Linked DNA regions of Kluyveromyces lactis. The protein of the gene in region 1 interacts with the protein of each later gene in a pairwise test. Links are inferred from orthologs where the notes say so. Each region holds a gene or a part of one and is shown in the gene's direction. Other genes may lie near its edges.

The links.
Region 2: the proteins of TRP2 (region 1) and TRP3 interact in binary tests that used the Saccharomyces cerevisiae proteins (3 or more experiments, as listed by UniProt). The link is inferred for Kluyveromyces lactis from reciprocal best matches to the Saccharomyces cerevisiae genes TRP2 and TRP3.
Region 3: the proteins of TRP2 (region 1) and SEC27 interact in a protein complementation assay, tested with the Saccharomyces cerevisiae proteins (2 studies listed by BioGRID). The link is inferred for Kluyveromyces lactis from reciprocal best matches to the Saccharomyces cerevisiae genes TRP2 and SEC27.

Annotation. Positions count from the first base shown.
Region 1 is NC_006041.1:1,779,938-1,783,377, forward strand, and holds TRP2 (anthranilate synthase TRP2), read left to right. Parts: upstream 1-1,411; coding exon 1,412-2,938; downstream 2,939-3,440. Other genes in the region: KLLA0_E19977g (PP2C family serine/threonine-protein phosphatase), read right to left, coding at 1-578; PTH2 (aminoacyl-tRNA hydrolase), read left to right, coding at 3,327-3,440.
Region 2 is NC_006038.1:1,259,351-1,262,703, forward strand, and holds TRP3 (bifunctional anthranilate synthase/indole-3-glycerol-phosphate synthase), read left to right. Parts: upstream 1-1,375; coding exon 1,376-2,848; downstream 2,849-3,353. Other genes in the region: septin CDC11, read right to left, coding at 1-719; phosphatidylinositol-3-phosphatase SAC1, read right to left, coding at 3,073-3,353.
Region 3 is NC_006038.1:169,189-173,450, forward strand, and holds the start of SEC27 (coatomer subunit beta'), read left to right. Parts: upstream 1-1,457; coding exon 1,458-1,475; intron 1,476-1,707; coding exon 1,708-4,262. Other genes in the region: KLLA0_B01936g (uncharacterized protein), read right to left, coding at 1-1,029. UniProt on the Saccharomyces cerevisiae protein: The coatomer is a cytosolic protein complex that binds to dilysine motifs and reversibly associates with Golgi non-clathrin-coated vesicles, which further mediate biosynthetic protein transport from the ER, via the Golgi up to the trans Golgi network.

The DNA of each region.
Region 1 (3,440 bases):
TCACCGATGGCACGAGACAAGGCCAAATTACCATTAACACGGTCCATTTCCACGAACCCATCAGCAGTGACGATTCTGGAATATTCAGACTTCAACGTAGGTTTATGATCGTACGATAACGCCTTAGCAATATGGTTTCTTGAAAGAACAGTTCTTGAATCCCCAGAGTTAGCACAAATCATTACATTTTGTAATTTAGAGATTAATAAAGTCGTTGCAGTGCATCCACTATGGTCGTTCGCTAACACGGGATCCTTCAAAAGCTCTTCATCTGTCGCAATAAAAGATTGAATAAGAGCCTCGTTGTAAGACTTCTTCTTGAAAGCATCCTGTTTTTGTAAAATCTTGGAGAACTGTGATCCACAGAACTGAGCAACGCTTGAACCACCATGTCCGTCAAACACACAGTAGTACGCCAAATGCTCCTTCTCATCATCAGAAATGTTCAAATCAACAATGTGAGAATCTTCCATAGACATACGCCATCCTTGCATAGCACATAACCCAAAAGCAGTCAAAACATCACTACCAGAATGTTGTTCCTTATCAATTACAGGATTAGACAAAATTTGACCCATTGTTTCTATTAAAAAAAGGCTTGTTATTAGTCTCTTCGTCCGTCCTTTCAACCAATAAAAAGGATGTGTCGACTGTATTGAAATTCTTGGAGAAACAAACTTCAATTAAACAGTACAGCAGCTTATTGTACCACCTTCTTCCAACCAATTGCTATCTTGATCCGCTGATATCTTTGAGGTGGCGAAATAAACAACTCTTCCTTTTAATATTTTCGTTTCAAAACAACAAAATTGCCGAAAACTTGTGACAAAGGTTTCACCAAATTCAACATCTGAGCAATGGAAAGAAGTGATATAGCAGGGACCCTACGGCTTTCATCTGGATTTGGGGGGACTTATCCAATCCATACTATCTGTGGACTGCTAAACAGCTTGAAATTGGGATTTCTAGCTGATCTTTGGCAATATTAGGACACAGTGTGCTGTATCTAGCGTTGGAATCACCAGATGTCCATCACGTGACTTCGTTCTCTCGGTTGTAGTCTCAATTACATAAAGCTTGTTCTTTCCCTTATAAGGACGGTTATTGCATCAGTGACTAAGTAGCTCGGTCATATGTATGTACTATTGAAGCATTGGAATTGACAGCTAACACCTGTCTGTGTACCATTTATCGTGTCTCTTTCACTTCATTATGACTCAATTTCATAGTATCCAGACTTTGGACATTGAAAAATTTAACAAGATGAGTTAAATGACTTGTCTATAAAACAGTGAGCATTGTGAAATATTTGGAGCAACCCACCATTGCAGTCCTAGATTTGAGTATATCTGGTTGTTATATTTAGGTAAAGAAGTGATTAGAGATATTCTTACAGAAATATACACTAAAAATGGCTTCTGATCATATTACTATTCAGCCATCAATTGAGGTGATTAAAGAATGCATCGCTGCTAATGATGATTCCATCAATATGTACCCAGTATACCACTTCATGCCAGCAATGGACCTTACACCTCATGTGGCGTATTTGAAAATGAGTGAGTTGAACAATAAGGAGAGGTCACCATCTTTTCTATTTGAATCCGCAAACGGTAACCAATTGAGTCGATACTCGTTTTTTGGTCATAGTCCACGTAAGATTATCAAGACTGGTCCTACTGAAGGTCAAGCGTGTGACCCATTGAATATTCTACAAGACGAATTGGCTCAGTATCGATTGGCTGAAAATGTTCCAGGCTTACCCAAGCTTTCTGGTGGTGCTATTGGTTATGTTTCTTACGACTGTGTTCAGTATTTTGAACCAAAGACGAAGAGACCATTGAAAGATGTGCTACAAGTACCAGAATCTGCTTTGATGCTATACGATACCATTGTTGCATTTGATCATGTTTTCCAAAGGTTCCAGATCATAACTAATATCAATGTGAAGACGGTCTCATCTTTGGAACAAGGTTACGAAGATGCATCTGAGATTATCAAACGCATTATCGCCATCTTGAAGGATGAATCTAGTCCGATACCATTACCTGAACAACCATCAATCAAATTGAACCAGACTTTCACATCAAACATTGGTCAAGAAGGATACGAACAGCACGTGAGAGATTTGAAAGAACATATCAAGAAGGGTGATATCATCCAATGTGTTCCATCTCAACGTGTCGCTAGACCAACTTCACTTCACCCATTCAATATCTACAAACACTTGCGTACTGTGAATCCCTCGCCATACTTATTCTATATCGATTATTTGGATTTCCAAATCATTGGTGCTTCACCTGAATTGTTATGCCAAGTTGATGCCAAAAACGAAGTTATCACTCATCCCATTGCTGGTACAGTCAGAAGGGGTCAGACTCCAGAAGAAGATGACAGATTAGCGGAAGAGTTGAGAAATTCTACTAAGGACAGAGCAGAACATGTGATGTTAGTTGATCTAGCCCGTAATGATGTGAACAGGGTCTGTGATCCAACCACCACTTCCGTGGATGAGTTACTTTCAGTGCAAAAGTTCTCTCACGTCCAACATCTTGTCTCTCAAGTCAGTGGTACACTAAGGAAGGATCAAAACAGATTTGATGCTCTAAGGTCTATTTTCCCTGCAGGAACAGTTTCTGGTGCTCCTAAGGTCAAGGCCATGGAATTGATCGGAGAACTGGAAGGTGAAAAACGGGGTGTTTACGCTGGTGCCGTTGGACACTGGTCATATGACGGAAAATCCATGGACACATGCATTGCCTTGAGAACAATGGTTTATAAAGACGGTATAGCCTATTTGCAAGCTGGTGGTGGTATCATATTTGATTCTGACCCATATGATGAGTACGTAGAAACAATGAACAAAATGAAAGCTAACCACAATACTATTCTACAAGCAGAGCAAATTTGGGCTGAGAAAGTTGGCACTCAAGACTAGCGCTGTATATGTCATATCCACTAATAGTTGAACCTGAACCTTTCCCGTTTCGTTCACAGTATGTATTCTATCGTGTATTCACATTAGACTTGTTATAGAATTGTAAAAAGGTAGCTTTAAGTGTACCATGGATGCACATATGAATGGATTAATGCCACTGGATAAATATACGAAAGGTAGGAGTAGGAATCTGGTGGTCTAAAGTACCAGCAGACGTCCTACTTCATACGTTTCTATCCAGCAGTTGCATATAATCTTTTCTTTAGGAAAATTTTACATTAAACCGATATATTCCAAGTGATGACAAGGAGATCACTGGCAGAGCATATTAAAGCAGAGGAAACTGACACTATCACTACAGCTACATCAAACCATAACTGCTATCCAGATGGCACCATCATCGTTGAATTTAGCAGTGTTGTTCACGCTGTCAGCATTATCTCTGACAACTGGATATTATCTTGGACAGATAACACCATCAAGGAAGGATGAGATACAAGAA
Region 2 (3,353 bases), on another chromosome or scaffold:
CCGTCTGCAGATTCAAACACATCGTTGGAACCGATGATAGAGAAGGGCAGTAAACCTCTGAGATATGTGTTTGTTTGATAATCTTCGTCTGACGCGTCTTCCTCATCGAATGGGAAGTTGTAGATAGGTAGCGAATAATAGTCGATATCCTTTGCGATCAATTTCTTGTTCAATTTCAACTCTTCAGCGGTCAAGGAATCTGCTTTACTGATAACGGGGATCACGTTCACTAGAGTACCTAGTCTTCTGATGAATTCCACGTCAATCTCTTTCAATCCATGTCCAGTAGGATTGATCAAATATAAACAACAATGCACCCTACCATCTTTAAACCGAGGATTTCTCCTTACACGGCTCTCTTCCAACAAAATTTCATCGTACTGGTGACGAATGTAATCAGAGATAATGTCAAACGATGGAGAATTATCCAAAGAGTCGCCGAATCCCGGAGTATCAATGATATTCAATTGGATCTTAAGACCTTCTTCGTCTTCTAACTCAACGATTTCTTCCCTCAATTGCACATCAATCTGCGTATTTGTGTCCGTTGGTAACATAATCGTGGTAGAAGTATCTACCACTTTCTGTCCACATAGAGTGTTAATGAACGTCGACCTACCGCACCCAGACTGACCAACAACCATCACCGTGAACTGAATTCCTCTCTTCAAGTTCTTCCGTTTACGCAAAGCGGCAGATGCCTGAATAATACTTGCCATTTCTGTCTAAATTACAATTGTAGCAGTGCTTTTGTTTCCCAATTCAATACCCCGACAGAAATTAGGTGCTAATAAGACCTCTGAGCAGCTCTTCTGTTAATTGTGTTGTTTACGTGTTAGTTGTTTGTTTAAAGTTTCACGTTTCCGATCTGATTCTAAATTCGTTACTCTGAGGAATCTGGAATTTAGTATGGAGGAAACAGAGAAAGAGTAGGTATTCGACGGTGAAAGAGCATTTGATGGATGATAGAGGGGCTCAGCTAATTGAACAGAGGTTATAGATTGTTACTTGGAAGTCAGATTACGGAATAATCAATCCAGCGATGCACAATTGCCTTAAGAATGTGGATTTGAATGTTGACACATCCGTACATCACATACATATTTATCATTTAGGACGAAATTCGATTCAATTTCTCATTTCATCAAAGCTTTCTCTTGACTCATCTCGAATTGTGATGTGGAACCAGTTAATCATCTCATGTTCAAGACGATTTTATATTTAAAGGAACCCTTAAAGGGCATTGAAATAATTGTAAGAAGAAACTTTCGATAATTTCTTATCGATTGGTTATATTTGGTTGATAATTATCTAGTAGGGCAACTACACTATACTGTGATAAAAAGGAACTAGGTTTTCGCATTAATTTGATATCATGTCCGCTAAAAGAGTTGTTTTGATCGATAACTACGATTCGTTCACCTGGAACATCTATGAATATCTTTGCACTGAGGGTGCTGAAGTTTTAGTTTTCAGAAATGATAAGATTACTGTGGAAGAAGTTGAAGCATTGAACCCTGATATTGTCATGATTTCACCGGGTCCAGGTCATCCAGAGACCGATTCCGGGATATCAAGAGACTGTATCGCATTCTTCTGCGGCAAAGTCCCTGTGTTTGGTGTCTGCATGGGTCAGCAATGTATGTTTGATGTCTTTGGCGGTGAAGTTAGCTTTGCTGGAGAAATTGTTCATGGTAAGACTTCACCAATATTCCATGATGGAAAAGGTTTCTTTAGAAAAGTACCTCAAGGTGTCGCAGTGACGCGGTACCATTCGCTTGCTGGCGCCAAGGAAACACTTCCTGATGTGCTTGAAGTTAGTGCAAGAACGGAGACTGGAATTATTATGGGTGTGAGACATAAGAAATACACTGTGGAAGGTGTGCAATTCCATCCAGAATCTATCTTGACCGAGAGTGGGCATCAAATGATCAAGAATATTCTTGAAGTATCAGGAGGTACTTGGGATGAGAACGCAGCTAACTTGGCTAGGAATGAGCTCGGAAAGACAGCCAGCACTGATAAAGCGAAATCTATCTTGGAAACTATTTACGAAAAACGCCGTGAAGACGTTCAACTGCAATCGACGATCCCAGGTTATCGGTTCTCTGATTTAGAAGCCAACTATAAGTTAGGTTTAGCTCCAAGGGTACAAGATTTCTATGCAAGATTAACTGCTACTGAGAAAACAGCAGTCTTGGCTGAAGTGAAGAGAGCTTCTCCATCGAAGGGTGACATTGATTTGAGTGTCGTTGCTTCAGAGCAAGCGTTGAAGTATGGTCAGGCAGGTGCTTCAGCGATCTCTGTATTGACCGAACCTCACTGGTTCAAAGGTTCCATTGAAGATTTGAGAAATGTAAGAAAAGTGTTGGAGGTGGCATTTGCCAATGACGAATCGAAAAGACCATGTGTATTACGCAAAGAATTCATTTTCTCAAAGTACCAAATCCTAGAAGCTAGACTTGCAGGCGCTGATACTGTGCTATTGATCGTGAAGATGCTTGACGACAACTTGTTGAAGGAACTGTACGATTATGCAAAAAGTTTGGATTTAGAACCTCTAGTGGAAGTAAACTCCGCAGAAGAACTAAAACGTGCGTTGGCAATTGGATCAAGAGTGATCGGAGTTAATAACAGAGACTTGCACTCTTTCAACGTAGATTTGAGTACTACCTCAAAATTGGTCAGTTCTGTACCAGAGGGAACCCTACTAATTGCTTTATCTGGAATAACAATAGCAGCTGATGCTGATCAATATAAAAAGGAAGGTGTTCATGGTGTTCTTGTTGGAGAAGCTCTCATGAGAGCTGAATCTGTAAATAAATTCATCGAGGAGCTAATCAACTAATGATACCAGTCCATTTCATCCTTCGTTATGTATGTATCCACCAACTTGTAATGATTGTATTTCTGTAATTTTAGATATAGACGTTAAAGTAAGAATGATACAGATACTATAAATTCAAAAGGTATCGAACATTAAAACTGGGAAGAAGAAGTCATAAAAGTAGAAACGTCATGGAGTAAATAAACATGAAAATGAAAGCTCTATACATTAAGGAATGTTCAATGCTAGTCCCTCTTGAAGGAATTTGGTTTAACGAACTTTGGATCAGGAACGTATCTAACACCTTTGAATTGTTTCTCCTTGTTATGCGTGTGCTCAGCAATCAAATACCCTAAATCGACTAACTTTGGCCAGTTCACATATTGAATACCCCTCTTAAATACGAAATGTGTGCATAAGACAACAATACTGAAGGATCCGAAAAAGAAAGATAGATTCTTCGCACTTGTGAAATGATTCTTGGGGAAAAGTATAGTTGCCATCATAACTGTGAGGGCAGCGTAGA
Region 3 (4,262 bases), on another chromosome or scaffold:
GTCCTGTTCTATGGTTGAAAGCTGAAGCAAAGGCGAAATAATATCTTTCAATTTTTCTGTTGCCAACGTGAGTTTGAAATTATCTTCTTTATCATAATGATATCTTTCTGAAACTTCAATCTCTTGAAACCAGGACAACTCTTTTGAGGATTTCCTTCTTGAATACCAATCGATGAGAAGTTCTTTTGTGGAAAGTTTGCTCTTGAAGTCAGGTATCTGGGACATACTTGTATTCATGTAATATGAGCTCAAACTAAAGTTAGTCGGAGCCATAGACAAATTCGGGGTCTGTAAGTATGGAACATATGTCTTTGTTTTTCGCTTTGACAGGAGAGTGATGAATGGGATTAATTTCTTAGCCATAACTTCTGACCAGGAATCAGAATAAGTCGATGCATACAATGGCTGAATTGGTATCGAATTAGATAAAGAACAAAATTCCATTGCATTTGATGTACTTATTCCATCACTCTGTAAAGATTGAAATATCGTTTGTTTGGCATCCATATCCACATCACAATAAAACAAACCGCCAACCCAAGTGTAGGGTATAAAAACATCAAATGGACGGATCGCATACTTCTTTCTTCTGGCCATTTTTAAACAATGAAAGTTCTTCAAACTATTATTGGGATTTTCCTGTTCTTTAGATTCAAAAAAACACCACGGTTGGTTCCAATCCTTTACATCATTAGTAAGTTGCTTCTCAGTTTCAAAGACAACTTTACCCTCGTTACAATAAGTTATCTTCAAAGCTTTCCCTGATCTTTTATATAGCTGGTGAAAATAAAATACCCTGTGTACTTTAAATCCAGTGAAGAGCTTTGTATCTCCAGGCAAAGAATCTACTGGAATCGTTGCCCCACTCCATATCTCAAACGTTTTCTTCATATTCATGTTGGCAGAGTTGAAACCTACCGCACAAGCTTTATCAATTGTATGAACAGGGTATAGTGCTTTCCCGTAAGCAAAATCAAAAAATAGAGCAGAACAAAAGAGAATCAACAACCATAGTTGACCTTTACTCATTCTATAACAAACCACACAACTGCTGTAGCTTCTAATAAAATGAGACTATCAAGACAAATAGCAGTTGTTCTGCTGAATAGCCTAAATCGCGCCCTTTGTCGAACAAATATAATAATTAGTAATATTCTTCAACTTTAGCTTTGAATACAAAATGGAGAAGATTGATGTAATATTAGGGGAAATAAGTCATATAGCTCGTAGTACTCTCGAGCCGAAACGGTTCAAGTTGATGCTTTATTTATGTGACACTGACACTGACATCAATATCATAATAACATTACCCGGTCCTATGCCATGTCCATCAACGGCTTTGAAAAAAAAATGTTTGAAAGGGGAATTTGAATAATAAAGATCCATTCATGATTTTAACACGTTAGTTGAAGAAAACATCGAAGGTAGAGACCCAACAGAGCGGAAGGAAATTAGCAATGAAACTTGACATCAATGTATGTGACACATTGTGTACTAGAGTAATTTGTGAGGTGCTTTTATCACGGAGAATCGCTGTTGAACGTTAGCAATTGCATATTAAGTATCTTAGGCGTTTTTCTGGTATCAATACATTTATGTTTTATGTTTTGATTCAACAGATTATATTTCTTCAGCCCTTATCAGCAACTAAAAGAAAGAGCTTTTACTAACATTTTTTTCATCTATGGTGACTTTATTTGTCTTTAGAAAAAGCTCAGTGCCAGAACTGACAGGGTTAAGGGCATTGACTTTCATCCTGAGGAACCTTGGGTTTTAATTACCTTGTACTCAGGAAGAATTGAGATATGGAACTACGAGACGCAAACGCAAGTGAGATCTATTCCATTATGTGATGCTCCAGTGAGAGCTGGTAGATTCATTGCAAGAAAGAACTGGGTTGTTGTTGGTTCCGATGACTTTAAATTAAGAGTTTATAATTATAACACCGGTGAAAAAGTGACCGAATTCGAAGCACATCCTGATTATATCCGTTCCATTGCTGTGCATCCAACGAAGCCATTCGTTCTGACAGGTTCTGATGATCTGACTATTAAGTTATGGAACTGGGAAAAGAATTGGGGCTGCCAACAAACCTTTACCGGTCATGAGCACTTCGTCATGTCTGTTGCATTCAACCCAAAGGACCCCAACCAATTTGCCTCCGGTTGTTTGGATCACACTATCAAAGTTTGGTCGATTGGTCAAGATGTTCCAAATTTCACCTTGAAAGCACATGAAACTAAAGGTGTGAATTATGTCGACTATTACCCGTTACAAGATAAGCCTTATTTGATTACCACTTCCGATGACGGTACCATCAAGGTGTGGGATTACCAGACAAAATCTAATGTTGCTACTTTAGAGGGACATATGGCTAACGTGTCATATGCTGTATTCCATCCGACTTTACCTATCATTATCTCAGGTTCCGAGGATGGAACTCTCAAGATTTGGAATGCAAATACATACAAACTAGAGAAAACGTTGAACATCGGGCTTGAAAGAAGTTGGTGTATCGCTACTCATCCATCTGGTAAACGTAATTACATTGCATCGGGTTTCGACAATGGTTTCACAGTTCTATCCCTAGGTGATGATCAACCAAAATTATCTTTGGATCCAGTTGGTAAGTTAGTTTATTGCGGTGGTAAAGCATCAGCCACTGACGTCTTCTCTGCCATCATTAGAGGTAATGAAGAGGTAGAAGAAGGCGGTGCCCTTCCTTTGCAAAGCAAAGAATTAGGGTCGATCGACGTTTTCCCACAAAGTTTGAAGCATTCCCCAAATGGTAGATTTGTCACTGTTGTTGGTGATGACGAATTCATTGTGTACACTGCTTTAGCATGGAGAAACAAAGCTTTCGGCAAATGCCATGACTTTGCATGGGGCCCAGATTCTAATAGTTATGCGTTAATCACGGAAACGGGTGCAGTGACCTACTACAAGAACTTCAAACAAGTATCTTCTTGGTCAATTCCGCTTGATTACGGTGTCGAAAAAATCTTCCCTGGTTCAGTATTAGGTGTCAAAGCTGACGGCTTCGTATATTTCTTTGATTGGGAATCAGGTAATCTAGTGAAAAGAATTGATGTCGATGCTAAGGATATAATCTGGTCAGATAATGGAGAGCTTGTTATGATCATCAACAAAGACCATGAAACAGACTCTGCTGAAGAAGCTAATGCTTACGCTCTGTTGTTCAATAAGGATGTTTACGATGAGGCGGTTTCAGCTGGAAGTATTGATGAAGATGGTGTAGAAGATGCGTTTGACGTATTATACGAAGTTTCAGAGGGTATCACGTCAGGTAAGTGGGTTGGTGATGTCTTCATTTTCACCACCCCAACAAATAGATTAAACTACTTTGTTGGTGGTAAAATCTATAATCTTGCACATTTCGATAAGCAGATGTACTTATTAGGTTATTTGCCAAGAGATGATAAAGTTTATTTGGCTGACAAAGATATCCATGTTTATGGTTATGAACTATCTATTGATGTTTTGGAATTCGAGACATTGGTACTCAGAGGCGAACTAGCTGAGGCCAAATCATCCGTACTACCTAATGTTCAAGGAAAAGAAAACTTGCTAAAGATCTCTAGATTTTTGGAGGGACAAGATTTGTTTGAAGATGCCTTAGAAATTTCACCAGACGCTGAGCAGAAGTTTGATCTAGCTATTAAATTAGGCCGACTATCACTGGCGCAAGAAATATTGTCCGAGCAGGAAAGTGAGAACAGATGGATTCAATTGGGTGATGCTGCCTTAAAGAAATTCAATTTCACTTTAGCTTTGCAATGTTATGAAAAGGCAAATGATCTAGAATCCCTTTTCTTGTTATATTCTTCATTCAACAATAGGGAAGAGTTGGTTTCATTGGCAAAGAATGCTGAGACTTCTGGTAAGTTCAACCTAGCTTTCAATGCTTATTGGGTAGCAGGTGACATAGCTGGAGCAAAGGACTTGCTATTAAAATCTAATAGGGTGCCAGAAGCTGCCCTATTAAGTTTAACATACGGGGAATCGGCAGAATCCATCAACACTGTAGTAGACGTATGGAAGCAAACTTTGATCAATGACGGTAAAGCCGCAATTGCTGAAAGAGTTGGAGTTGTCGGTAAGACAGAAGGTTTTCCATCAACGAATACACATACCTTACTTGATTTAGATACACCAAGCGAGAGCATAAAAGAAGCGGCTCCTGTAAACCATAAGTCAGAGGAGGATGTCGCAGTTGAAGAAAAAGCGTTGGATACCGAGGA